Linked DNA regions of Sus scrofa. The protein of the gene in region 6 purifies or fractionates together with the protein of the main gene of each other region. This does not show direct contact. Links are inferred from orthologs where the notes say so. Each region holds a gene or a part of one and is shown on either strand. Other genes may lie near its edges.

Region 1 (3,283 bases), on a different chromosome or scaffold from region 6:
GCAGAAGGAGCTGGCTGACCCAAAGCTCCCTGGCTGGGGTAGGGGTAGGGGTGGCGCATGTCTGGGAACCTCAATTTTCCAGGAGCCTCTCGAATTTGGGGTTCAGGAAGGAGAAGCCAGCAAATGCTGTTTGGTCCATGGAGTCGATGAGATTCTTGTCGCTGAAGGAGAGACGTGGCTTCTCATTCAGGAACTCCTGGTCGAAGTTGCTGTAGTCTCCAGGGGACCTCTGCAAGCAGAGGGCAGGGGTACATAAGCAGGACTCAAGGGATGACCTTTTGGAGGTTCCCAAAGTTTCGGAGACCCACCCCTGGAAACTGAACCCCTGATGGACTGGGCCAAATCAGAGCTGTCCTTATTGAAAACTGAAAAAGAAGTCTCCCTTGTAAAGTTGGCTGCTGTTTCCCCAGGGTCTGAGGGATGCAAGCAGTGGGGGTCTGACCTGGAGGAGGCCAGGTGGGCATCCCTCCAAGCCAGGCTCTGGCAGACGACAGTCCTGGCCAAGCCCCATCCACCACCTGTTTGTGCAGGACCCACAAGCTAAGATTGGCTTTTGCATTTTTAAATGTTTAGGGAAAAAAATAAAAAAGAGAATAACATTTCATGCCACATGAAAATCAAATGAAATTCAAATCTCAGTGTCCATAAATAAAGTTTTATTAGCACACAACCACACCCACTCATTGACGTAGCATCTACAGCTGCTTTGAGACTATCTGGCTTGCAAAGCCCAAAATATATATATTTGCCTTTTTAGGGCCACACATGCGGCATTGGAGGTTCCCAGGCCAGGGGTCTAATCGGAGCTGTAGCTGCCGGCCTATGCCACAGCCATAGCAATGCCAGATCCGAGCCATGTCTGCAATCTACACCACAGCTCACAGCAACACCGGATCCTTAACCCACTGAGCAAGGCCAGGGATCGAACCTGCAACCTCATGGTTCCTAGTTGGATTCGTTCCCGCTGCTCCACAATGGGAACTCCAGCTTAAAATATTTACTATTAGGCTTTTCGCAGGAAGTTAGCCAATTCTCTGCTTCTGAGGGTACAATGAAAGGGTGAAAGAAAGCTGGTGGACCTCAGACGAAACTGAGCTGCAGGTACAACCACTGTGATTAGCTGTGGGTTTTAATGGCATTTGAGCCTCTTTTTTCCTAATGGCCACACCTGTGGCATGTGAAAGTTCCCCGGGCCAGGGGCCAGTGGGAGCTGTAGCTGCCAGCCACAGTCACAGCAATGCAGGATCCGAGCTGTGTCTGTGACCTAGGCCACAGCTCATGGCAATACCAGGAGCCTTGACTGTGATTCCCACTGAGTGAGGCCAGGGATTGAACCCACATCCCTATGGATAGTAGTCAGATTCTTTTTCTTTTTGCCTTTTCTAGGGCTGCTCCTGCAGCATGAGGAGGTTCCCAGGCTAGGGGTCCAATTGGAGCTGTAGCCACCGACCTAAGCCAGAGCCACAGCAATGGGGGCTCCAAGCTGCGTCTGCAACCCACACCACAGCTCACGGCAACACTGGATCCTTAACCCACTAAGCAAGGCAAGGGATCGAACCCGCAACTTCATGGTTCCTAGTCGGATTCGTTAACCACTGCACCACGACGGGAACTTCAGTCAGATTCTTAACCCACCTAGCCACAACAGAAATTCCGAGCCATTATTTTTAAACTGGGCCATTTGACATAAAAATCCAGATTTCTAGCTTCTTTTGAAAACTGGCAGAGCAGAGCAGCCTAGGTCCCATTTCCTGTCAAGTGCATCCACTCTTGGTGCTAGAACCCCCTTGGCCAGCTCATCACAGGCCCCACCACTTCCCAGAGACAGAGGATGCTGACCAACACACCTGCCTTTGTTGTTTAAATCTATCCTCCTTTCTATCAAAAGTGAGAGACAAAGCAGGCTATGGGATTTTCCCACAGCCAGTCTGTCCTGGGAGCAACATGCCCAGTGCAGGAGGCACCCAAGTTTGATCCTTGGAGTGGAGAGCTCTGCAGCCTCAAGACACAAATATGGGGGCACCTTTTACGGGCTGCTCAGTGGAAACAACAAATCCTGATGGAAGAGGGGAAGCAAAGGAGAGGAAAGGGGGAGGAAGGAGGACCTGTGATGAGACAAGGGCCACGGAGTCCGACTTTTGGGAAGTCCAACCAGCCTCTGCTCTCCTGCTGGCTCCTTGGCAGCCTCTAGATCCTAGGCCTTTGTGCACACCACCCCTCCTCTACCCGGAACGCCTCCCATACATCCTACTTCCTCTCAGACCCAACCCCATCTCTGCATCTTGGGCTCCTGCTGACAGACCCTCTCAAGGGCAACTGATTGTGTGTGGACATCTCTTATATCACTGCCATTTATCATAAATGACCATTAGGGTGCAGATTTCTTATCTCTCTGAGCTGCTGGAGCTCTTCCAGCTCTAGAAATGGGATGTCCCACTTTGCTGTGCAGCCTTGCACAGTGGTCTGTATCCAGAAGGCACTCAGCACTTATAATGCTTATTGGAAGATGGATGGGTGGAGGCAAGCCTTAACTGTGATTCCCAAAGCACAGTTCCTTGCATACAGTGGGTGCTAAAGAATGTATATTAAAGGGTGGCTGAATCCACAGCCCCCAGTGTTCGTTGAATGACTGAGTGAGAAGAGAGGGTGAGAATGCAAGGGTAAAGGCTGTGACTCAGGGGAAGCCAGGTTTGCTACGAGAAAGGACAGGAGGAAGGCATGTGAAAGATGCAGGAGAGAGACAGGGCAAGAGAGGAGGCACCCACCCTGGAAGGCTGTGGGGGTGGGCAACACCAAGGAGGCGGCCCCCACCAGAGTGGGATCACGTACCACTTTGGGCTTGAAGGGTGGCTCCACTGCACGTTTCTCCAGCAGAGTCCAGTTGATGGTCTTGAAGAAGGGGTGGGTTCTGATGTTCCCTGTCACTCCCAGCCTCTTGCCTGTGTCTCGTTCAAGCAGCTGCAACCCAGCAGGGGCCCTGGTTAGCACTTAAGGGCTGTAGGAAATCAGAGCCTCAGAAAACCCCCAAGCAGGCCCAGGGGTTCCCAGGCTGGTCTGGCCCAGCCTGGTGCCATGGCCCGGGGCCTCTGAGGCTGAGGGGTCCTCTCTGGCCTCTGCATTCCTAGGTCTGCTGGAGAAACAGGGCGAGGACTGGGGCTGCCAGGACTCTCAGCTGGTAGGACTTGTGAGTAAAAGCAGTGGCCATTTATTGGGTGTTTACTATCTGCTGGGCATAGACCTGAGCATCCACCTGAGCATCCACATTTATGGTTTTTTTTTTTCT
Region 2 (3,435 bases), on a different chromosome or scaffold from region 6:
CCACCCCGGAGACCTCCAGGCTCATATCCTCTTGGTCTGGCCTGGTTCCCTGGTTCCAGACCCCTGTTGGGCCCTCTTCCTCCAGAGCCTGAGTACATGGTACTTCTCTGAGATCTGGTGTTATCTGTCAGGTGGGGCGGGCCTCTCTCCCGGGACAGGAGGCGACCGTGATGTGATGTGATAGGGATGCGGGAGGTGTTGCTTCCGGAACCCCCTGACCACGTCCCATGGCTCCACACCCATGATCCCAGCCCTTCCTGCCCTGGCTAGCCAGGCCTGGGGGTCTTGATGCTGACCAGGGCCTTCTCCTGTGTGCCCTGGGCCAGTCCCTTGGCCTCTCTGAGCCTTGCTATCCCTTCTGTGAAGTGTGGATTCTCCTCTTCTTTCTCCCAGGCTTGTTTTGAAGATCGGTGTGGTTGGAAAGCCCTGGCAGGGTGGCTGTCGTAAAGGAAGCGCTTGAGCAGTCAGCCCCCTCTCTCCCATCCTCTGGTGCTCAGTTCCCACAGCTGGAAAACTAGTGGATAGTGCCCCCAATCCAAGGACATTTTCCGTTTGTTTAATTCATCAACGTTTCCAGGGAGTTCCCGTCGTGGCTCAGCGGAAACAAATCTGACTAGTATTTTTGAGGACACAGGTTCAATCCCTGGCCTCGCTCAGTGGGTTAAGGATCTGGCATTGCTGTGGCTGTGGCGTAGGCCAGCAGCTGTGGCTCCAATTCACCCCCCAGCCTGGGAACCTCCATATGCCTCGGGTGGCCCTAAAAAGACAAAAAAAAAAAAATTTCCGTATGGCCCCTGTAGGCTCAGCTCTGTGCTGGATGGGGAGTCAGGGACACCCTTGCCTTTGGGTTGTTGACATAAAGGCAGAGGGTGATAACTACCACTATTTCTGTGGACTTACCACGTGCCAAACACACTGACAAGCACTCATGCTGGATTATTTCATTGAATGCTGGGGACACTGAATTCATTTTGCAGATGAGGCTAAGATAGGTTAAGTGACTTGCCCACGGTCACCAAGGTGGTAAGAGCTGGGCTTCAAACCCGGGTCAGCCTTTAGAGCCACAGAGGATCTCCAGTTGCACTACGGGCGTGACCTCTGCAGAAACGGAGGCGTCTGAGCCCAATATGGAAAGTCAGAGGAGGCACCTAGGGGGGTGGGTCCCTGGTTTGGTGTGGAGCCGGGCCTTGGAGGATGAGACCGGGACGGCAGGGTAGGGACTCTCAGAGGCCTGCAGGCTGGGGCTGAGTGTTCTGAACGATTATGGCGAAGACCCCGTCCCGTGCCGCTTCTGGCTTCCTTGACCACCGGCACAGCTGGCCGTGCAGACCAAGCGGGTGGCCTCGCAGGTGGACGGCGGGGCTCAGGTGCAGCAGGTGCTCAACATCGAGTGTCTGCGGGACTTCCTGACGCCCCCGCTCCTGTCCGTGCGCTTCCGGTGAGTCGGGAGTCGGGGCGCTGGCTGGTGGGCGGGGCTTTCCGGGCGAGGGCGTGGTCTAACCCGAGGCCGCTCTCCCCGCGTCTCCCCGCAGGTATGGGGGCGCCCCCCAGTCCCTCACCCTGAAGCTCCCGGTGACCATCAACAAGTTCTTCCAGCCGACGGAGATGGCGGCCCAGGACTTCTTCCAGCGTTGGAAGCAGCTGAGCCTGTGAGCCACGGGCGGCGGGGCCGGGGGGCCAGGGCCGGGGCCGCCCTCGGGGAGGGGCAGGGCGGGGGCTTCCGATCCCCGACCTGAACCTTTCCCGGCCCCCAGACCCCAACAGGAGGCGCAGAAAATCTTCAAAGCCAACCACCCCATGGACGCGGAGGTCACTAAGGCCAAGGTGAGCCAGGCAAGACAGGAGAGGCCCTGCTGGGCTCACACCCCAGCCCCACCTCTCTCAAGGTCTGGGATTTGGGGAGTGGCGGCCGCTCAGCTTCTCTGAGCTTCTGTTTCCCCAGGAGGGTCTGGGGGGATTTGGTGTGTCACTGTCTGGGAGCTAACAAAGCCCGGGCACCCTCTGACGGCCACCCACTTCCTCCCCAGCTCCTGGGGTTTGGCTCTGCGCTCCTGGACAACGTGGATCCCAACCCTGAGAACTTCGTGGGGGCTGGGATCATCCAGACTAAAGCCCTGCAGGTGGGCTGTCTGCTGCGGCTGGAGCCCAACGCCCAGGCTCAGGTGCGTGGTGGTCTGGGAGGCCCCTGCTATGTTCTCTGCACCCCGTCCTCCTGCCTCACTCTGTCCTTTAAGTCATGTGTCCCCGTGCCCCTCCTGTCTCTCCATCCTCCCTGATTTGCATCTCCCCACAGCCTCTCCACTCTTCTTGACCTCTTATCTTTCATCCTGTACCTCCTGTCACCCCGGTCCTTTATGTCACCTTTCTGATCCCTTTATCCTTTTTCTCTCATCATTTATCTGCCCTGTATCCCCCTCTTCCTCCTCCTCTTGGGGGAGGAGCTACCTGCACCATCCCTCTGCCACCTCCCTGAGTCCCACTGTCCCCACCAGATGTACCGGCTGACCCTGCGCACCAGCAAGGAGCCCGTCTCCCGTCACCTGTGTGAGCTGCTGGCCCAGCAGTTCTGAGCCCTGGACTGTGCCCCCGGAGATGTGGCCGGTGCCGGGCAGCCCCCAGGACTGAGGCAGCTGTGGTGGATGGGGCAGTAAGGGGACCTCCGCTGGTGACAGGGAAGACCCTGGGGTGGGGGGATGCCTAGGACCTTCCTCTGGCCTTTTGTATTTTTATTTTTGTTCATCTGCTGCTGTTTACATTCTGGGGGGTAAGGGGGAGCCCCCTTCCTCCCTTCCCCCCCCCCCGAAGCACAGAGGGGAGAGGGGCCAGGGAAGTGGGCACCTCCTCCCCTCCCACCCCACCCCCCGGTAGCCCCTCCTGCCCCCTCCCCATCCAGGGGCTGTGTATTATTGTGAGCGAATAAACAGAGAGACGCTAATAGCCCCGTGTGCGTGTCTGTGTCTGGCGCTCAGAGGAGCGGGGTGAGGGCATGCAGGGTGTGGGTGGCCAGGCCCCGAAGCCCGTGCGTGGGACTCTGAGCAGACAGCAGCAGCAGCAGCCGCCGTGGCCCCAACTGCAGGGCCACCAGCCGCCATCCGATGCCCGGCTCCTCAGGCCCCGACACCAGGTAGCAGGCTCTCGGCACCTGGGCCCGGTGGACCGCCTCCTCCACCTTCTCTGGCTGCCCGGGCTCTGAAGGAAAGACAGGGAGGGCTGGGGTGACCAGTGGGGCCTGGACCCCTAGGATGCCAACCTGCGTGGGAGTCTCCCCCATCTTGGGCCCAAGTTTGACTCCTGACAGAGGGGAGCCCCACAGCTCCAGCTGGCTGTCAGGACCTAAGAGGTCACGGACTTTCTGCCCTCTTCCTACCCAGCCTCCGTCCCCCACTTTCCTGGCGATCCTGTGTATGCAAGCGCCAGGCGATCCCCTTGGCAATA
Region 3 (3,500 bases), on a different chromosome or scaffold from region 6:
AAGACAATTCAAGTTAATTTAGTTCAAAGGAAGGCAAGGAAACTAAGAAGCCACTGGGCTTCTTAAAGTAATCTCCCTGGGACTGTGGCCTTTGTGTAGGAAATGGTCAGCATCTGAGGAAGAAACTAGGAGAGACCATCTCAAAAACAACAACAGGAAGTGAACTGCTTAGGGTGGTGGTGGGTGACTTGTTGTTGTTTTTTTCCTAAGGATGTCTGGACTTGTGTTAGGACCTGATAAGCCAGGCCTGAGACTCCAAGGTCTATCGTTCTCTTGCATCCACTGGCACTTCCTCTGAGATGGACCTTCTCACAGATAAGGAGATTGTGACAGTCACTGGTTGATTGGTAAACAGAAAAGCCAAAGACTGGCCATAAACAAAGTGAACAAAGAAACGGCATTTGCAGAGGTGGACATGAAGGCTAATATGACGAGAGAGTTAGCTAATCTCGAAGTGGGATATCTAGAAGAAAAACATGTCCCAAAAACAACCACAGAGAAAGATGGAGGGACATTAAAGGTACTACTTGAGGAGTGACTTTCTTAGAGAGAGCCCTCTCTACTTAGAATGGGGTCATATTGTAGCTTGGCTGTGTCCATCAACAGATGGATGGATAAAGAAGATATGATACACACACACACACACACACACACACACACACACACAATATACACAATGGAATACTATGCTGCCATAAAAAAGAAAGAAATTTTGCTATGTGCAGCAACATGGATGGACTGGAGGCTATTCTACTAAGTCAATAGGTCAGACAGAGAAAGACAAATACCGTATGGTATCACTTACATGTGGGATCTAAAACATACAACAAAAGAATAAAAATTTTTAAAAACACAAAAGGACAGGAAAAAAGAGGGTGTGGCTCTACTCACGTGGGCTTATAGGAGCACTCGGTCTCCAGCTGCCAATACCAGTGGATGTAGCTCGGGGGAGGAACAGCATAGACTGTGCAGGTGAGCGTTTGGGAGGTGCCGTACTGGTAAGAGTCCACGGGGGAGATCAGAGATTTCTCACCAATCTGGGGTGGGACTGGAGATGAGAGAGACAGCTTTTGAATTGTAAATCAGCTACGAGGCATGGAAAGTAGATGTTGTCAGAAATTAAAGCCTTTGTCTTTCCAAACATGGGATTTTTGCCCCCATTTGCTTTTTCAAAGAACATGTCGACTGGGAGACAGGACACCTGACTTCTAATGATATTCAGAGTGATGTTCATGATTTTAATAATATCAATAAATTAATAAACTGAGTGACTTTGTGCAAGTCTCGCCACCCTGTGCCTCACTTTTTCAAAACCATGTTATAAGGATAGTCCTTTCAATCTCACAAATCAGACCAAGCTTCAGTGAAAAAAAATTAGTGGTGATTAATCCAGTACATACATGTATTATGTGTGAGCAGTGTTCTAAGTGCTTTACATCAATTAATTCATTTAATCCTCACAACCACTATTACTGTCCTCCACTTTACACATGAGAAAAGTGAAAGATAATGAGAGTGAAATGACTTGCCCAAGGTCACCCCGCACACCTCTCTCCCTCCTTCTTCCCTTCTTCCTTCCTCCTCCCTCCTTCCCTTCCTTCTTCTCTCCCTTCCTTTCTTATTCTCTTCCTTCTCTCCCTCCTTTCCTTTCTTGTCTTCCCTCTTTCTCCCTCCCCTTTTCTTTCTTTTTTTTCTTTGACTCGAAGCCATTCATGTGAAATTATTTCTCATCACTATCAACCTAAAGCCTCAGATTATACCTTCAAAACATGACTCCTCTTTTACATTTGCATAATAGAGCAAGGTAAATGCTAGAGTGAATCAAATATTTAGTGACTTCCTGGGTGAGATGGAATTATTCCCTGTCCAGTTTTACATCTTTATTTCCTATTCATTTCCTTCTGCCCACCCTACTTAGCCTCCCTGCTTCTCTCCACTCCCCAAGCCCCTACGCTCGAGTGGCTTCTAAATGACATTTCTGGAAACTATTATGTTAAAAATACTCCCTGAAGCTGATGCCCCAAAGAAATGAAGCCAAGCTCAGCACACATACAGAGCTTGGCAGGATATTTGGGGAAGCACTTTAAGGTCATATGAGAAGATCCTCAAGTCTTTTTGTTGTTGTTTTTTAGGGCTGCACCCGAGGCATACAGAGGTTCCCAGGCTAGGGGTCCAGTCGGAGCTCCAGCTGCCAGCCTACGCCACAGCCACAGCAACACAGGATCCAAGCTGCGTCAGCAACCTACACCGCAATGCCGGATCCTTAACCCACTGAGCAGGGACAGGGATCGAACCCACATCCTCATGGATACTAGTTGGGTTCATTACTGCTGAGCCATGATGAGAACTCGCAAGATCCTGAAGTCTTAATCTGCTGGGCCAGTAGAAAGCACAAAGAATTCCAATAGAGAAGAATTTCCCAAACTCTGTTTGGAGCAAGATATTAAAGGCTGTGTGGGGTAGGGGAACTCTGGTCAAGTAAGTTTATTAAGTCTTGGCTACTCTATGTTTCTCCCCGCCGGCGTATGGCGGCATACGACATCCACCCCCCTAGCATCTCCCACACCTACTTGACCATAAGGCCCTTTTCCCCTCATGCAAAACACTTATTTACATCTCCCCATTTGGAAAAATAAAGTTCAAATCACTTTAAATCAAAAACTTAGTATCTCCTTTTTATAGCCTCAGAGTCAGATCCTACCTAGCCTATTACTTAAAAAAATTACAAAGCTTCCAACCAGCCAACGACGTCCTCCTGCAAATGCCTATGCATTGGAATCTGCCTGTGCATCACTGCTACATCAACCCTGACATCAAACTATAAGCGTCTCACAAAATTCAAGAAGAGTTGTACACATTTGAGTGCCAGGTTCACAAATAAAAGGTAGTGCAACTTGCAGACACTCTTGTTCCACAGCATTTAGCCACTGGCTGTACCATCTACTTGAGTTTTGCATCTGACCACCAAACGGTTCATTCTCGTGGCCTCTTAAGCAAATGCATCCAGAGCACATGGCCCCACACCTGATTTCAACAGCAGTGCTCCGGAAAAATGAATGGACTTACCATTCACAACCAGAGATACCACGTGGCTCTGTTTCTCCTTTGAAATGGGATTGGTAAGGACGACAGTGTAATTTCCGGTATCCTTCTCACTCACTTCCATGATAGTCAGTATATGCCCCACTTTGATTGTGTGATTGGACTCAATGGGTCTTCCATTTTTATACCTGTTTGGGGAGGGGGGAACAAAACAGGAATCAGTACCCTCTGGGGATTTGCTTCCATGTGGAACAATGCTTTGCATTTATTTTCAGTAGTTACCACTTTATTTCTGGGGGAGGGTAACCCAGGTACTTCACAGGGATTCTGACGCGGTCTCCCACGGTGGCTTCCACCAAAGAGTCCATGCCACTGCCAAAAGCAACAAAAGGCTTTTCTGGAAGAAAATAAAAATAAGTTTTCTCATAAATGTTAACTTCTTATAAATGGCCTTTTGG
Region 4 (4,232 bases), on a different chromosome or scaffold from region 6:
GAAGCAGAAAGATGAAGTTCCTTGGTGGCCTAGTGGATTAGGGATCTAGTGTCACTGCTATGGCTCTGGTCACTGCTGTGCCACAGATTCCAACCCTGGCACTGGAACTTTCCCATTCCCCAGGCAAGGCCAAAAAAAAAAAGCAGTGGAAATCTTAACTGACCTAGCAATGGCCCCCTGTAAACCTGTAACTAACACACGCCTAACGGATGGAGTTAAATGCTGGTATATAATCAGCTTGAAACAAGCCCCCTGTGTGTAGACTATCCCAACGGTTTTCTACAGTGGAGACATTTCCAAGACGGTTCCCAGGCTTACTTAAAAGGGAAATTGAATTGCTGCCCCCCCCCCATTGGCCACGTCCACTAGTTGTCTGCTCAAGCACTGGGCATGCACTTCCTCACGGTGCCGCTAGATGGCAGGGCCGCGCGCCCTTGGGGCGCTTTGTGGAGATTCGCGGGCTCACTCAACACCGTGGACGCCACGCCTTGCAAATTATTAGGGACTTTTCGGTAGCAATCATATTAACGCCTTTTGCATACTGGAATTAGAACCGCGGTGATGAGGGTAGGATTGCAAAACTGCACCCACCCTTTTGAAAGGGCGTCCAGTCCAGGAGAATTAGAGGGACAACCTCTTGGGAGTAAAGCAAAGCTGCCCGGCGGTCCCCTCGCCAAAGAGGGGCCCAAGGAGCTTGTCCGAGGGGCCACAGTCCTGGGTTTCCGCGAGGTGACGTGATGGCCCTGCAGCTGCCTGGCTTTTGTGAAATGGAAGTAAGGGTGGTGGCAATTTGTCTTTGTGCCTTGGGGTAAATCCTGGGAATGTTCTAGTCGTAACACTACGTGAGAGGAGCCTAGGAGGCAGGTCCTGCCAGGGTGAAGAATCATCTGCTTTTTTCCAAACCGGCTTCTCTTTACCCGGTGGGCACATGGAGCCAAATCCATGCCTGTCTGCAAGCATGGACATACATCTTTATGCTCTGCGTTTGTACAATGGCCTCACTGGTGGGAACATAGTTAAGGTAGCTTGAAACATAATAAACTGCCTATATGCCCCAATGTTTATCTACCACCTCCCCCCTCAAAAATAACCCCAGGCAATTTAAAATGATTCACCAAACAGTGACATATTTGTATACATCCATAATTACATTAGTAAATTCATGTGGTAGAAGGGGTGCAGTTTGAAAACTATTAAAGCTTTAAAGTTACACATTTCTAGTCTGCTCTATAGTTTTACACAAATGAATATTCCCGTCTTTTCCATATTTACTGCCAGAGTATACGATCTACATATATGAGTCAGAGGTTCATCAGCGGATTTTGCAGCGGAGCGGATCAGAGGGGCAGGGGAAGCTGGGTTGAGCAGAGAACGACCACTCTCAGCGCCGCGCCCGCCCCGCGTGGAAAGCAGGATGTCCCAAAGCGGGAAGGGCCGGGGGGCCTCCGGGCCAGGAGCAATGAGCGCGATCGCCTGGGATTTGCAGCAGGGAAACTGAGGCGGGAGGTCGGGGAGGTGGTGGTGGGGGTGCTCCCCGAACCAGTTCCTTGGCAACGCCGCCGCTCCGACCCTCGCTACGCACCCTTCGCGCCGCCTGCCGCCCGCCCTCCTCAGGATTGAGGAAGTGTGTGTCTGGCCCGGCCCCGCGAGCGGCCAGAGGCGCAGGGGCGGAGGGCAGAGGGGCGGCCCGGCCCGGATCCGCCGTCTTCCTCCCCGCCCGCGCTCAGCGCAGAGTCCAAGGCGCCGGCCGCCTCAGGTAAGCGCCGCCGGGCCCGCGCCCCGCCAGGGGACCCGCCGCCAGGCCCCGGGCGCAGGGCGACCCCAGGGCTCATGGCCCCGCCGCCTGCCGCCGCGCTCACGGGGCACGAGGCCCAGGCGGGGAACCCGAGACCCCCCGGGACGGGGCCCGGGCAGGGAGAGCAGACTCGAGCAAGGAGTACTTCTCCCTCCGCCTTTGGAAAAACTCGCTTCCTTCAAGTCGGAGTGGCCGTGAGAGCGCGTGTGCGTTGTGTGAGCCTGAGAGTGAATGTGCTTGTGAGCGAGAGTGTAAGCTGAGTGTGAGCGCGGGGGTGTGGGGAAGCAGCAGCTCCCTGCCCCGACGGCCTGGTGCGCGACGGCCGGCGCATCTTCATCCCACCCTCAGGCTGAGGCCCTCTTCTGGCCTGAGGGTCGGATCTCCGGCGGTGCGGATAAAACCCCGCCACCACCTTGGCGGTCTCTGCGGCGACCTCCCGGCAGAGGCGCAGGAGATGAGCGCGGATGTGGTGGAATGAGGAAGGGAGCCGAGGAAGGCAGCCGAGGAAGGCTGCCGAGGAAGGCTGGGGGTCGGAGGGATATGATAACGAATAATTGGGCGACTTCTGTGCTGGGCTCGACCAGCCCCTCTTTGTTTGAGGTCAAGAAGCTTTTCTCTCAGGAGCACATCCCCCTGCAGGGGTCTGAGAAGGAGAGATACGGGAGCCTGTAGTTTGTTTTTGGTGAGCCTCTCACCAAACACACCATTTTCAGACTTTGTCACTTATTGTGTCCAAATTCCCCTGGGCCTTAAGGGGACAACTAGAATATGCAGGATTTGGAAAAATGTTAACATTCCCCTCCTTTGGTCGTTTGGCTTCATTATCTTTGTTTATGCCCCGGAAGAATAAAAAAGTTAGAAACATACAAACCTCACACCTAATTTGTCCTGCAGAAGGTTTTGGGGGCCCTGCCCCAAGCCTCCACATCTCAGGGGGTGGCCTCATACTAAAGGTAGTAGGCACAGTTGCTCAGATCAAAAACCTAGGAGTCGTCCCTTGTCCCAACTCCTCATTCCTTGAATTCAATGGTTAGCAAGTCCTGTTGGGTCTCAAAGGTGTGTGGGGTCCATCCCCTTCCTTTTTATGGCCCACTCTAGTCCAAGCCACCAGCATCTCTTACCTGTGCAATTGCAGTGCTTCCCATACGCCCAGTCTCCATTTGGCAGCCATGGTGATTTTTTTTTTTTTAAGGTAAATTCGAGAGTGTCAGTCTTCTGCTTGTAACCCTTCAATAACATCTCCTTATGCTTGTCACGAAATCCAGAAGACCTCCTCCCGTCCGCATCCCTGCAGCTGATCTGGCTTCTGCCGTCTCAGATCACCTGGCCATTGCCTCCCCACCCAGCCACCCCCTCTAAACCCAGCCTCACTCTCACATCTCTCTGTGTATGTCCTTGCAGTTGCCAATGGCTGTGTGTTCCTACTCTATCTTTTGAATTACTCCTTTAATTTACCTGAAAGTCTCCATTGGAGACTCCAGGTGTCAGAGACCTTTCCAGAGTCCCTGCTCACTGTTGCATCTTCACTCCCAGAGCTGCTCCAGAGGGTTCCAAATGCATACAGGTAGAGAGACAGTGGTGGAAAGACAGTATGAACTTGTTTGTGGCTTTAGGCTCACAAAGGGCTTCTGTTCTCATCTGGGCCTGAGAACTACACATTTCTACGGTTTGTAGCACCGTAATATTTTGATGTCTACAAATCTATTAAACACATTTTGTAGGCAAGCCAGTAGTGGTCAAGGAGGCTAGTTGTGCCAAAGGGATGTCTCGGACCATGGGCCAACCATCTCAACCAGGCTTTTGATTCAAAAAAAGACCTGGGAGTTCCCGTCGTGGCGCAGTGGTTAACGAATCCGACTAGGAACCATAAGGTTGCGGGTTCGGTCCCTGCCCTTGCTCAGTGGGTTAACGATTCAGCGTTGCCGTGACCTGTGGTGTAGGTTGCAGATGCGGCTCAGATCTCGCGTTGCTGTGGCTCCGGCATAGGCCGGAGACCACAGCTCCGATTGGACCCCTAGCCTGGGAACCTCCATATGCCGCGGGAGCGGCCCAAGAAATAGCAAAAAGACAAAAAGACAAAAAAAAAAAAAAAAAAAAAAAAAAAGACCTGGGTGGGAGTTCCCGTGTGGCTCAATAGGTTAAGGACCTGATGTGTCCCTGAGAGATATGGGTTTGATCCCTAGCCTCACACAGTGGGTTAAAGATCTGGTGTTGTTGCAGGCTTCATCCTAGGTCACTGAGGCGGCTCTAATCCAGGGTTGCCTGTGCCACAGCTCTAGCTCTGATTCGACCCCTGGCCTGGGAACTTCCATATGCTGTGGGTGTGGTGCAGCTGTAAAAAGGAAAAAAATAAAAAAAAAATAAAAGGCTGGATGATAAGAGCATTTCTAACATGCTTCACTTGTGCAAGTTTCTTCAGGCTCTTTGGTATCTGCAC
Region 5 (3,500 bases), on a different chromosome or scaffold from region 6:
CTGGAAGGAGGCGCCCCGGACCCTAGGCGCCCTCTCGCCCCCGCCCCCACAGGCTCCCTGCAGCCCCCGCCGACCACACCCTAGGGAGGAGGGGGCAGTCCGGCAGGCGCGGCCGGCGACCCCAGGCCCACCTGAACTGGACGCTGAGCACGGGCGCCTCTGCGAAGTCGGACAGGCACTCTATGTTGACGGCCTGCTGCACCTGTGCGCCCCCGTCCACGGTGGGGCCCACGGGCTGGGTCCGCAGGCTCAGATGTGCGAGGGTCAAGGAAGCCGGGGCAGCGCGGGGAAGGCGGCCGGCCAGGCCAAGTGGGCCCCAGGGGCAGAGGCGCGCGGGGGAGGGGGGGGGCACGTCCTGATCCGGCCGCAGCCTTCCACGCGCGCCTTTGCAGCGACCACCCACACGTCGGCCTCTAAGAGTCTGAGTGTGAAACACACTCCCCTAACGCAGGAATGGCCAGGCCGCGCTGCGTCTCCGTGGCCCAGCCGGGCCTTCCCCTCACCTCCCCGAGCGGCCCCCGCGCCAGAGCGGACATCTGGGCAGCGAGGCTGACTGACGGTGGCGGGAGCAGCTCACGTCCCAGGCCTCGGGCCTCAGGAGGTCTCAGGCGCCCCGGCCCTCACGCTGCCTGGCGGGGATTGGAGCTGGGGGGCCAGGCCAGGCCTGCGTGCCCCTCCCAGGCGGCGCCCGCACACCCGGGGCCCGGGAGGGTACCCTGAGGCTGCAGGCGCGTCTTCCTACCCCTACACAGAACCTCAAAACCCGCCTCTGGACCCCGGAGGGCCGGGGCCACGGCACAAGGATATTGGCCTGGAGGCCGTCGGAGCAGACGAGCGTGGGCGTGAAGCTCAGGAACTGCGTGGAGGTCTTGTTTCCGTAAAAGATGAACATGCGACCTGGGAGGCGGGAGAGCCGGCTCGCCAGCGGGTCCTCGGCGCCCCGACAGAGACGCCGGGGGCGCCTCCGAGCCAGGAAGGGCTGAGAGCCGCCCATCCTGGACAGGATGGCAGGGGCAATACCCTCCCCGAGCTCAGAAGCCACGGCCAGCGTCTAAGCCCCCACCGGCCGAGGACGAAACCGCCCCCTGGGTTTTGGGGGCCCCCCCGCCTCCCCGCCTGCCCCGCGTCTAGACCAGGCTGCAGGCGGGGCCCAGAGATGGGAAAGGCTGGGGGGAGGGGGCGCAAAAAGCCTTTGGAGTTGTTTTCGGGGGGGGGGGGGGTCGCTGGCCGCGCCTGCCGCATGTGCACGTTCCTGGGTCAGGAATCAAACCCACGCCACAGTGGTGACAACACTGGATCCTTGGCCCGCTGTGCGGCCAGGGAGGCCACCCGCGGTTTTAACTGCTTGTTTTCCTGTTGTTGATTGGGAGTCTTCTACACATTCCAGAAACTAGACCCTTATGAGATACCTAATCAGAAAATACCTTCTCCCCGTAACTTCTAAGAGACGCTTCCACTCAGTTAAACACATACCCAAGTTCTGCCGAAACTCGGACTTCAGTCCAATTTGAAGCAGCTGGTTTTCGAACAAGACTCCGTTATTCTTACAGACAAACCTGGGGACAAGAGACAGCGTGTGACCCACCCAAAGCCGCCGCCCCAAATACAAAGATTCGTTCTGAGAAAGGGTGTAAAGAACACGGGGTCCGGCAAAGCCTCTCTGGGCCGTGAGGGGAGGAGGAAAACAAGCCCGAACAGCACGAAGGCCCCCCGCTAGAGACGGGCGCGACCCGAGACGTGGCCCCGGGCCAGGGTCAGTCCTTCTGCTCCTCACCAAGCGCCCGCCAACCACCTGCGGCTGCCCGCTGACTCAGGACAAGGGCTCCAGGGCACACGCACACGCTCAGGTCGGACCGCAGGCTCGCCCTCCACCAGGCACCGGCCTCCAGCCTGCGTATGGCCAACAGCCCCGCCTGGCTGCCCCGCGGGCCACGCGGCCGATGCCACTGAGCCCTCTCCGCCCCGATGTCCCCGGCGCTGGGAAAACTGGACGCCACGTGTAAAAGAAGAAGAGCAGAACACCTTCCCACACCACATACAAGGATAACGCAAAAGGATTAAAGATCTAAACGTGAGATCTGGACTCGTACAACTCCTAGAAGAAAACATGGAAAGCAAAGAAAGCCCAGGAGTTCCCGTCGTGGCGCAGTGGTGAACGAATCCGACGAGGAACCACGAGGTTGCAGGTCCGGTCCCTGGCCTCGCTCAGTGCGTGAAGGATCTGGCGTTGCCGTGAGCTGTGGAGCAGGCCGCACACGCGGCCGGGATCTGGCGCGGCTGCGGCTGCGGTGTAGGCTGACAGCTGCAGCTCCGATGTGACCCCTGGCCTGGGCACCTCCATACGCCATGGGTATGGCCCCGAAAAGACAAAAAAGTAAAGGATGGATAAAGATGTGGTGTGTACGGACTTGGGGGCACCACTCAGCCATGAAAGAATGAGACTTCGTTATCTGCAACAACACGGACGGGCCGGGAGGGTGTCACGCTGAGCGAAGTAAGTCAGGGACAGACAGACACCGCGGCAGCGGCACACGTGGACTTTGAAACGAAACGAGGATGACGCCGCAGGACCAAGCAGACACCCAGAACAGGCTGGTGGTTCCCAGTGGGGTGGGGGGAGCGTCTGAGACGCACCCAGTAGGCAGATAAGCTAAAAGGACCTACGGTGCAACCCACGGAAATAACCCCCTCTTTTATCACAACTTTAAGTGGAATAAAATCTTTAAAGCTGGGAACTGCTCTGTGGTACATCTGAAACCAGTAAGTGCATCAACCATACCTCAGTTTTTTAAAGTCTGTTTTCAGCCCGGGACAGAAGGCGAGCAGCACTCCAAGCTGCCCGGCCCCAGCCGCTTCCAGCCCGCAAGGCAAAGAATTAGCCGCGCTGTCGACCCAGAGACCAGGGAACCGTAAAGGAAGCCCTCTGCCGTCCTAACTCCGCTGGCGGGGTCCCTGGAGACTCAGGTCTCCCTCGGGCTCCCCCCGCCCCGGCGGGGTTTCAGATCAGCAGAGAGAGGGCAGCGTGAGGAGGGCAGAGGCCCAGGATCCCCAGAGCCAGAGAGATGGGGGAGCCGACATGCTGGGAGGAGCAGCCTGGGATCCGTTTTGAAAACGGGGAAAGGGGGCAAAGCCGGCAGCAGGAAGCCAGGCCCGTGGACGGACGCAGGTCGGAGAGAGGCAGGAGGCGGGCGGTGGAGACGGCGCTCAGGAGAAGGCAGCGCCCTGCCCCTGCAGAGCGTTCCTGAGGACGAGGCCAGGGGCGCCCGGAAGGCAGACCCGTGGTGGGAAGCCAGGGGAGGCAGGGCGGCTCGAGGGCAAGAGCGGGGAAGAGGCCAGGGACGCCGAGGCCACAGGGGCCCCAGCAAACAGGACGCGGCTGGCGGCCGGCCCGGCAGAGCCCGGGAGGGCCCGGGAGGAGGGCCCGGCGGAGCCCGGCCGTGGCCTGGGCCGGGGGCCAGGGCAGAGTCGTCCCCCCCGCCCCGCCCCCAGACACGGGAGAC
Region 6 (3,966 bases):
CCCATCCCAAGCCCCTCTCTCCTCTCCCACCACCTTGGTGCACTCCCCGACTCACCGGGTCCCCGCCGGACGCAAACGAGATGGATTGCATATGGTGGTTGGCGATGATCTGAGGGTTAGGGCAGAGGATGGAGAAGGAAGGGAAGGACGGGTGTCAGGCAGCCTGAGGGTCCACTGGGCACCCCCCACCACTGGCCCGGGACCCCAGCGTCCCTTTGGCTTCTCAACCCATGTCCTCCTAATCTACACCTTCCCTACAGCTCTGCTGCGCCCAAGGCTTCTCTGCTAAGTTCTTGCCCTCGTGGCCAGGTTCCCACTGAGCCTTCCCATCGGTGTTTCTGCACGCCCTCACCCCCCGCCCTGACCCTGACTCCACCCCACCAACCTGTTTGCAGTCTGCGGCCATGAGGTTGAGGCTGCTGGTGGAGACGGTGAGAGTGATTGGCATTCCAGCAAATTTCAGGTTACTCCTCCCCAGGATGGAGCTGAGTGGGCGGCCACAGGGCTGGGGAAGGGCCCCAGGTCTCAGAAGCTGGGAGATCCCACACCAGGAAACCGCCCGCACTCCTGCCCTTCTCCCCACACGCGCCACACTAGCCTTGCCCCTGCTCCTCCGCATCTCCCGGCAGCATCCCCCGTGCCGTGGACCCCAGGTACCTTTCTCCTCCTTGTCGCCCCCTTCGCACCCGGCACAGCCTCACACACCAGACTGATGGCCTCCCTGGGGAAAGAGGGGTACTCAGACCCAGAGCCTGCCTCCCACTCGGCTGGGGCTGCCACAGGGCTGGGGGAGGGGAAGGCCAGGCCAGACTCCAGGGGCACTCCAGGCTCTTTGTCGTGGTGGATTGAATTAAGGGCCTTTAATATTTGATGACACTGAGAGGCCGCTTCCTGGCTGATTGGGTTAGGGCCTCAGTGGGTCTGGCCCCACCCCCTTCCAGCTACCAAATGTCCCAGCCCCTTCCCAAAGGCGGTGGTGGTGGTGGTGGTGGTGGTGGCGGCAGTGGTGGTGGCGGCGGTGGTGGCGGCGGCAGCGGCGGGCAGCAACCTTCCATCTACCCCCATTTTCCACTCAAGCTCCAGCTGCCAGCTGCCTCTGCCACCTCCCCCACAACTCCCCAGGCTGGATACGTAGAAGGAGCCGGGTCAGAGTTGTCTCTTTTCATTGAGACTTAGACTGACTCTCCTACCTGTCTCTAAATCGCCTTCCCCACCCAAAGACAAGCCAGCACTAGCCACCACCACCAAGCGACCCCCTCCCGGCCTGAATGCCAGGAGCCCTGCGCTCTCGGCCCCGCCTCCCCACGAACCTGGTGACCTGAGTCCGGGTGTTGAAGTCCAGGGCGCGCATCGACTGCAGGACCTCCACACAGCCCATGTACTGAGGGGAGGGATGCGAGGAGGAGAGTCAGCCGCCCCCCTCCAGCCTCTTCACAAAGGGCCGTAGGACTCTGCCCTACGTGGTCCCTCAGGGAAGAAGAGATGAAGTTCTGCCCCGCTGCCCGTGGCTCCATCCCACAGAGTGCAGGACAATAGGGGGTGAGGAGAGAAGGGCGAGCTAGGAGGACCTCCTGCACAGTGGGGGGTGGGGGGAGGGAATTTGGAGGGGAGCGACAGGCCCTGGCTGGGATGGAGTGACAACTCCAGAAAGGGGGAGCAGACTGGAGGGGAGTCACTCAAGAGCCACTCATTCCAACACTTACTAAGGGCCTGTCCTGGGCTTTGTGCTGAGCATGGCAGGCTGGGGGTAGGGGTGGGGGAGTCGCAGGACCCAAGGGGACCCAGACAGAGCTGGAAGAGAAGGGGCTACAGAATCAGAGAAGGCGCACAAAAGGCTTAAGAAACAGGACACGGAAACCAAGGGAGTTGCTGGGGAAAAGAAGGGGCGAAAAAGAGAGACTCATGAGCAGAGGAACTGAAGGGGTCAGGGAGGGAGGACGCTCACTCACCCGAACCAAGTAGGAAACCCCGGGTCCCATGACTTTGTCGTTGGGATGCAGCCAGCCCCGCGTGGGCTTATTGACGAAGCTCCCGTGGCGGGTCCACTCCTCGCCCCCCAGCTGGCCCCCTTCCACCCGAGTCCTGCGCCCGCCGCCTCCACTCAGCTTGTTCATGTCCTGGAGGAAGGGTAGGGGGCCCGAGTCGGGTACAGCTGCCCCGACGGTCCCCTCCCCATCCTCGGCTGCCCTTCCTGGCTCCCCCTTCGGCCCTGGGCGCCCCCCAGCTGGGTTGGCCAGCTTCAGGTTGCTCATCCGGGGGAAGAAGGAGCACAGGGTGGTGGGGCTGTCGTCCCCTGGCAGAGGTGGCAGCATGGGCCCCAGGGACGAGGCTGACGGGGAAGGCAGCTCCTCTGGTGGAGTGGACCCTGAAGCCCCCTCCTCCAGCGATGACAGAGACTCATTCCGAAGTGGGTTGTACTTGGGCTTGGGGGGCAGGAGATCCATGGCTGGAGTGAGAGGGAGGCTGCTGCCCAGCCTGGCCCCCCTGCCAGTCAGGGCAAGGGGGCCAGGCAGGGGGCATCCCCAGGCCCTTAGCCTGATCGGACCTCTGTGGCCCAGGGGTCTCAAGGGTCCTGGGGAGGGAGAGGGACAAGTGGCTCTGGCTCCCGCGGCTCAGACCCAGACAGTTCCAGGCCCCATCTCTGCCCAGCGTGGAGCCTCTTCTCTGGCTGAGAGGAGAACAGGCTGGACCTAGAGCTGCCTGGCTCCTCCCCAGGGGCGGGGAGCAAAGGGGAGAGACCAATCCCGTGGACAGTGCTGACTCACAGGCTCTGAGGGGCTGAGCCCCCAACACCGCCCCAACCTAGAACTCTTTCGGGGCAGAGTGCACCGTGCCCCCACCGCCCGCCCCACCCCCGTCCCCCCCCCCGCCCCCACCCCGGCCCACCCCGTACAAACAACATGTAATCTAGGGAGGAGTAGAGTGGGATTGGAAGGGAAGGATGGAGGGGTGAGAAGGAAAGGAGGGCGATAAGAGGAGGTCTGGATCAATCCAAACCGGACATGGGCAGGTCAAAGGGAGCAGGAAGCTGGTGGGGGGAGTGGGGAATGAGGGAGGAAACAGAGGCAGCTGGGGGTGGGAAAGGGAGGGGATCCCTGAGCTCAGCATTTCCCTTCCTGTCCTGGTCGAACACTCAGATTCCCTCATCCCCCAGCACCCCCTAGTCTCGGTCATTAGCATCCTCCGCTGCAACAGCCGGGGAGGGAGCTACAGAAATGGGAAAAGGAAGGACATGGTCCCGGTGGATGCAGAGAGGGGCCAAGGGGAAGGGCAGAGCTGGTGAAGTAAGGGAATGAAGTCCCTTACTTCATCATCATGATGGGTGTTGCATCAGGGAGCCACCAGGCAGGAGCCGGAGCAGACGACAGGCTGGTGGAGGCTTGTTCTCTGCATGGCGTCTACCATGCCAAGGAGCAGCAACTCATGCCAGGCACCCTTCTGCAGCCCCCCACCACTTTCCGCAGCCAAGCAAGTTATCAAGGGTAGGAGGGGTGGGGGCTGCCAGGGCACTGACACTAACGTCAGTGCCCTGGACCTGCAGGTAAGCTCCTACCCCTCCTCTGGCCGTAGGGACCCTAGAGAGTACAGGTATCCACCACAGAGCCCGAGGCCCCACCCCGCCAGGGGCAGCGTCTGGCTGGGGAGGGGAGAGTGAAACAGTTCTCCAAGAGGAGGGGGACGGGGGCTACAGGCCACGAAGGGATAGGGTAGGCAGAAGACCAATCTGTGCCAAGGGGAAAGGAGTGCCAGGAAAAGGAGGACTGAGGCTGGACACAGGAAACAGTCTCAAACCCATTCCTTCCACCCACAGCTTCACGCCAGCTCTGCTCGAGGGGGCCATGGAGGCAGCTGGAAAGTGACCAAGAAATAAAGAGTGAAAGATATATATAGCCCCCCAGGCTGGCCTCGGAATATCTATCCTTAAATTTATCTCCCAGGATAAAAAGACAGCAAATAATCATAGGA
Region 7 (3,500 bases), on a different chromosome or scaffold from region 6:
AGTATTTTAAATCAGAAGAAGATGAACTCTGATAATGCGGAGGTCTTTTGTTGTTAGTCTGATTTCTATTTTAGGCACAATGACCTGTGCAGCGAAGAAAAATCAGCCTGAACAGGAAAATAAAAGTGATAGGCAAGTTCATATTTCTTACCTGCGTACATATGGTATGTGAGCCTCTCTATAAGTTTAATAACAGTTCCTGCTTTGATAATTGGAATTCCAGCTTTGGGCTGCATGTTTTCTTCAAATATGATATTTTCTTCAGAGTCAGGCTCTGCAAATCTATAAACATCAGCACTAGGAAGCCTCATCTGCTCCTCCTTTTCTTCCTGTAGCATTGTCACATCAAGCATCCTTTCCAGTGTACTCCGGTACTGTAAAGATATCAACGCTGCCATCCAATTGTTTTTCTCTTCAGCTGACTTGGCAGAAAATATTACACTATTTTCATCTTTTAAAATTATTTCAAAAGCATGCTTGTACTCACTGGTGTCATCTTTGTCATTAATTTGTACCTTTCTCATAAAAAACTTTTCTTTAAGACGATATTCTGCATTGCTAGCACCAGGAAGTCTTGGCTGCCCATGATTTGATTTACAGCAAATCATTAAGCCATCAAAGAGAAATATGTGTCTCTCATGTTTGGCTCCTACACGTGTAAGAGTTCCTTCCATTATAAACTCATTGCAACACTGTCCAATGTCTTTTCCCTCCCAACCATCAATATTCTTCTGAATCTCGTTCATTTTCTTGATTGCTAGTTGTTTCCCCTTCATTTGTTGACTATAAAACCGACATGCAGATTCACTGGGATAAAGGAAAAAACAGTTAGTACACAGAAGACAGGGAATCTATAATTCATGTAAATAAATGGAAATGCAAAAGTATATTTAAAAACATTGCATTGAGAAGGTTTTCACTAATTCTCCAAATATGTTAGTGTTAACAGAACTGCACAATTTTGGAAACTAAATCAATACCGTAGAGACATTTTTTTTTTTTAGTGCTTTAAAAAGAACAGTTGGCTATTGACAAAATTCTCCCCTATAAATTTAGCTACAGAATGATTATTTCTACTACGGCTATTAAATACTTAGAATGACAAATATTAAAAAAGTAGCCCAATATAGTGAAAAAAAAAAAGAGATTAAAGTAATTTAAGAGATTAAAAATTATCTAGGAATGCTTAAGTGGACAATATCTAAAAGCTAAAAAACATGCACACATAATAACTAGGAAACTGGAAGTATATTATCTGAATTAATGCCTTGAGTTACAAAGTCCCTAAAATAAAGAACACTACTAATTTTATTTTCAGAGATTGACATAAACCTACCCAATACATTGTATTTCTCCTTTAGCTTACCAGCTGATTCTCAGGAGGTCTTGTCTGGGAGTATGCAAGGAAAATGCACAAATATGAAAGGTTTTTCAAACAATAACAAATTCTCTTGGCTTTGATGTCACTTCCTTTGAAAGACCAAGCTTGTCACTAACACTATTTTCTTCATTGTTTACTTGAGTAGGGACTAGGATCCCTTAATTTATACCACAATATTCAGGGTGAAAAGGAAGATAATTTAAAAAGTGAAATTATTCACCTCAGTCTTCGTTTTGCAAGACTTTTAGAACATATTTTTTCCATACCACTCTGAACATTAAGCAAAGCTGTTATTGCTTGTTTCAAACATTCCTTGTCTTCTTGATCTTCACTCTTCTCTTCTAACTGCTGCAAAGTAAAAAATGACAAATCTGAACAAGCAGAACAGTTCTGTACAAAAAAATAAGCCTATTTTATTTAAGGATAAAGATAACATTGATTCAACTCTTTCTACTGTAATACATTTTAAACGTCATAAAATATACTACTCTTTTAAAAAGTCTTCCTATGTATTACTATCCAAATCAACATCCCACCAAGTTTTCCATGTTAAAAAAAAAAAGGAGTAGAAACAGTGTTAAAAGACATCATATCTTGTGATAGGGAGTAATGTGCAGTTTCTCAGATGCATACTACCAAAAAGAAATGAGGAGGAAAAATTATCTTTTAACTATCATAGGACGTGGCACAGAAGTAAACACACAGGTGAGTCTTTTTTGAAGTGTGTAATTTGCTCTTAGAATTCTGATTCCCACACTACTGCTGTAAGCAATGGGATGCTATGCAAGATAAATATACAGAGAATGAAGCAACATAGTGGAGAGGAACCTGAAGACACAAAACCTAAGATAAAATTCAACTCACTTTCGGTGTGATCTTTCAGGAAAATTATATGACTTCTGAGCCTCATATTTCTTATATGTCAAATGAGGCTTATAAAAAGCTTCCCCAATCTATTTTATGGCGTTGTTATTAAAAATGAAAGCATTCTGTAAATGTACAGTGTAAGTTGTTTTCTTTGCAGTTCTACTACATAATTAATGTTACTATCATGAAGAACCTTGTCAATATTCATATGTTAAGATTTTGAATAAAACTAGGATCATACATGTTAGTAAAACTCAAGCACGTTTTCAATCAGTGGCTAAATATATTACATACGCTGGACAGAAGAGTCTGTTTTTAACAAGGACTGAGTCATCAATAATGGCTAATTATCATTGCGACAAGGTGGTGGTAATTCAAAAAAGCAATTGAGTTATGAATGACAATAGGTGACAATAATTCAGTAACCTTATAAATCTGTTTGTGGCTACCAAAAAGGAAAAGTTAAGAAACTAACATATTTTTTCTGGCCATGCCTGAATGTGGAAGTTCCCAGGTCAGGGAGCGAACTCACGCCACAGTAGTGACAACACTGGATCTTTAACCTGCTGTACCACCAGGGAACTCCAAGAAGTAACATTTATTAATAAAGCTTTCATACAACATTTAAGAACAGTTACTGTCTATCATAAAGAAAAAGACTTGAGAAAATCATAAAAAATTCAAATTTACAAAGGCTTACTTTTCAATGAGCTTCATTATTCATTAGTACTTTTTGTTCTTGAGAGTTCTTTTTTTTTTTTTTCCTGTCTTTTTAGGGCTGCACCTGCCGCATACAGAGATTCCCAGGCTAAGGGTGAAATCGGAGCTATAGCTGCAGGGCTACGCCACAGTCACAGCCACATGTGATCTGAGCCCACCTGTGACCTACACCACAGCTCATGGCAACGCCAGATCCTTAACCCAGTGAATGAGGCCAGGGATTGAACTGGGGTCCTCATGAATGTCAGTCAGGTTCGCTAATTGCTGAGCCATTACAGGAACTCCGAGAGTTATTTCTTAAAGAATAATAACACATTTCTTTTTTGCTTGAACTGATACAGATTAGTTATATATACACATACATATGATGTATATTGATGACCTATGAAAAGTAAACATATTCTTACTCAATGCTCCAAACCATTTTTACAAAAATAACTTATTTAAAAAAATGGTTTTTTTTTTTTTTTTTTTTTTTTTGGCTTTTTAAAGCCACACCCATGGCATATGGAAGTTCCCAGGCTAGGGGCTG

Evidence for each region.
Region 1: the proteins of SHC1 (region 6) and PRKCD purify together in Homo sapiens (affinity purification with mass spectrometry; 3 studies listed by BioGRID and IntAct, with this or other methods). This does not show direct contact. The link is inferred for Sus scrofa from reciprocal best matches to the Homo sapiens genes SHC1 and PRKCD.
Region 2: the proteins of SHC1 (region 6) and AP2A1 purify together in Homo sapiens (affinity purification with mass spectrometry; 4 studies listed by BioGRID and IntAct, counting the BioPlex papers as one, with this or other methods). This does not show direct contact. The link is inferred for Sus scrofa from reciprocal best matches to the Homo sapiens genes SHC1 and AP2A1.
Region 3: the proteins of SHC1 (region 6) and KDR purify together in Homo sapiens (affinity purification with western blotting; 3 studies listed by BioGRID and IntAct, with this or other methods). This does not show direct contact. The link is inferred for Sus scrofa from reciprocal best matches to the Homo sapiens genes SHC1 and KDR.
Region 4: the proteins of SHC1 (region 6) and LRRK1 purify together in Homo sapiens (affinity purification with mass spectrometry; 3 studies listed by BioGRID and IntAct, with this or other methods). This does not show direct contact. The link is inferred for Sus scrofa from reciprocal best matches to the Homo sapiens genes SHC1 and LRRK1.
Region 5: the proteins of SHC1 (region 6) and AP2A2 purify together in Homo sapiens (affinity purification with mass spectrometry; 4 studies listed by BioGRID and IntAct, with this or other methods). This does not show direct contact. The link is inferred for Sus scrofa from reciprocal best matches to the Homo sapiens genes SHC1 and AP2A2.
Region 7: the proteins of SHC1 (region 6) and SOS1 purify together in Homo sapiens (affinity purification with western blotting; 14 studies listed by BioGRID and IntAct, with this or other methods). This does not show direct contact. The link is inferred for Sus scrofa from reciprocal best matches to the Homo sapiens genes SHC1 and SOS1.

Annotation. Positions count from the first base shown.
Region 1 is NC_010455.5:35,317,179-35,320,461, reverse strand, and holds part of PRKCD (protein kinase C delta type), read right to left. Parts: intron 2,959-3,283; coding exon 2,830-2,958; intron 230-2,829; coding exon 71-229; 3' UTR 1-70.
Region 2 is NC_010448.4:54,820,972-54,824,406, forward strand, and holds the end of AP2A1 (AP-2 complex subunit alpha-1), read left to right. Parts: coding exon 1-23; intron 24-1,314; coding exon 1,315-1,438; intron 1,439-1,532; coding exon 1,533-1,649; intron 1,650-1,754; coding exon 1,755-1,824; intron 1,825-2,027; coding exon 2,028-2,162; intron 2,163-2,492; coding exon 2,493-2,570; 3' UTR 2,571-2,935; downstream 2,936-3,435. Other genes in the region: FUZ (protein fuzzy homolog), read right to left, coding at 2,966-3,189.
Region 3 is NC_010450.4:41,839,368-41,842,867, forward strand, and holds part of KDR (vascular endothelial growth factor receptor 2), read right to left. Parts: intron 3,440-3,500; coding exon 3,325-3,439; intron 3,231-3,324; coding exon 3,067-3,230; intron 1,049-3,066; coding exon 892-1,048; intron 1-891. UniProt on the Homo sapiens protein: Tyrosine-protein kinase that acts as a cell-surface receptor for VEGFA, VEGFC and VEGFD. Plays an essential role in the regulation of angiogenesis, vascular development, vascular permeability, and embryonic hematopoiesis.
Region 4 is NC_010443.5:139,492,694-139,496,925, forward strand, and holds the start of LRRK1 (leucine-rich repeat serine/threonine-protein kinase 1), read left to right. Parts: upstream 1-1,432; 5' UTR 1,433-1,756; intron 1,757-4,232.
Region 5 is NC_010444.4:621,708-625,207, reverse strand, and holds part of AP2A2 (AP-2 complex subunit alpha-2), read right to left. Parts: intron 1,557-3,500; coding exon 1,474-1,556; intron 898-1,473; coding exon 808-897; intron 256-807; coding exon 132-255; intron 1-131. UniProt on the Homo sapiens protein: Component of the adaptor protein complex 2 (AP-2). Adaptor protein complexes function in protein transport via transport vesicles in different membrane traffic pathways.
Region 6 is NC_010446.5:94,821,668-94,825,633, reverse strand, and holds the start of SHC1 (SHC-transforming protein 1), read right to left. Parts: upstream 2,801-3,966; 5' UTR 2,445-2,800; coding exon 1,950-2,444; intron 1,382-1,949; coding exon 1,311-1,381; intron 722-1,310; coding exon 658-721; intron 506-657; coding exon 386-505; intron 110-385; coding exon 56-109; intron 1-55. UniProt on the Homo sapiens protein: Signaling adapter that couples activated growth factor receptors to signaling pathways. Participates in a signaling cascade initiated by activated KIT and KITLG/SCF.
Region 7 is NC_010445.4:101,321,068-101,324,567, reverse strand, and holds part of SOS1 (son of sevenless homolog 1), read right to left. Parts: intron 1,730-3,500; coding exon 1,602-1,729; intron 808-1,601; coding exon 152-807; intron 1-151.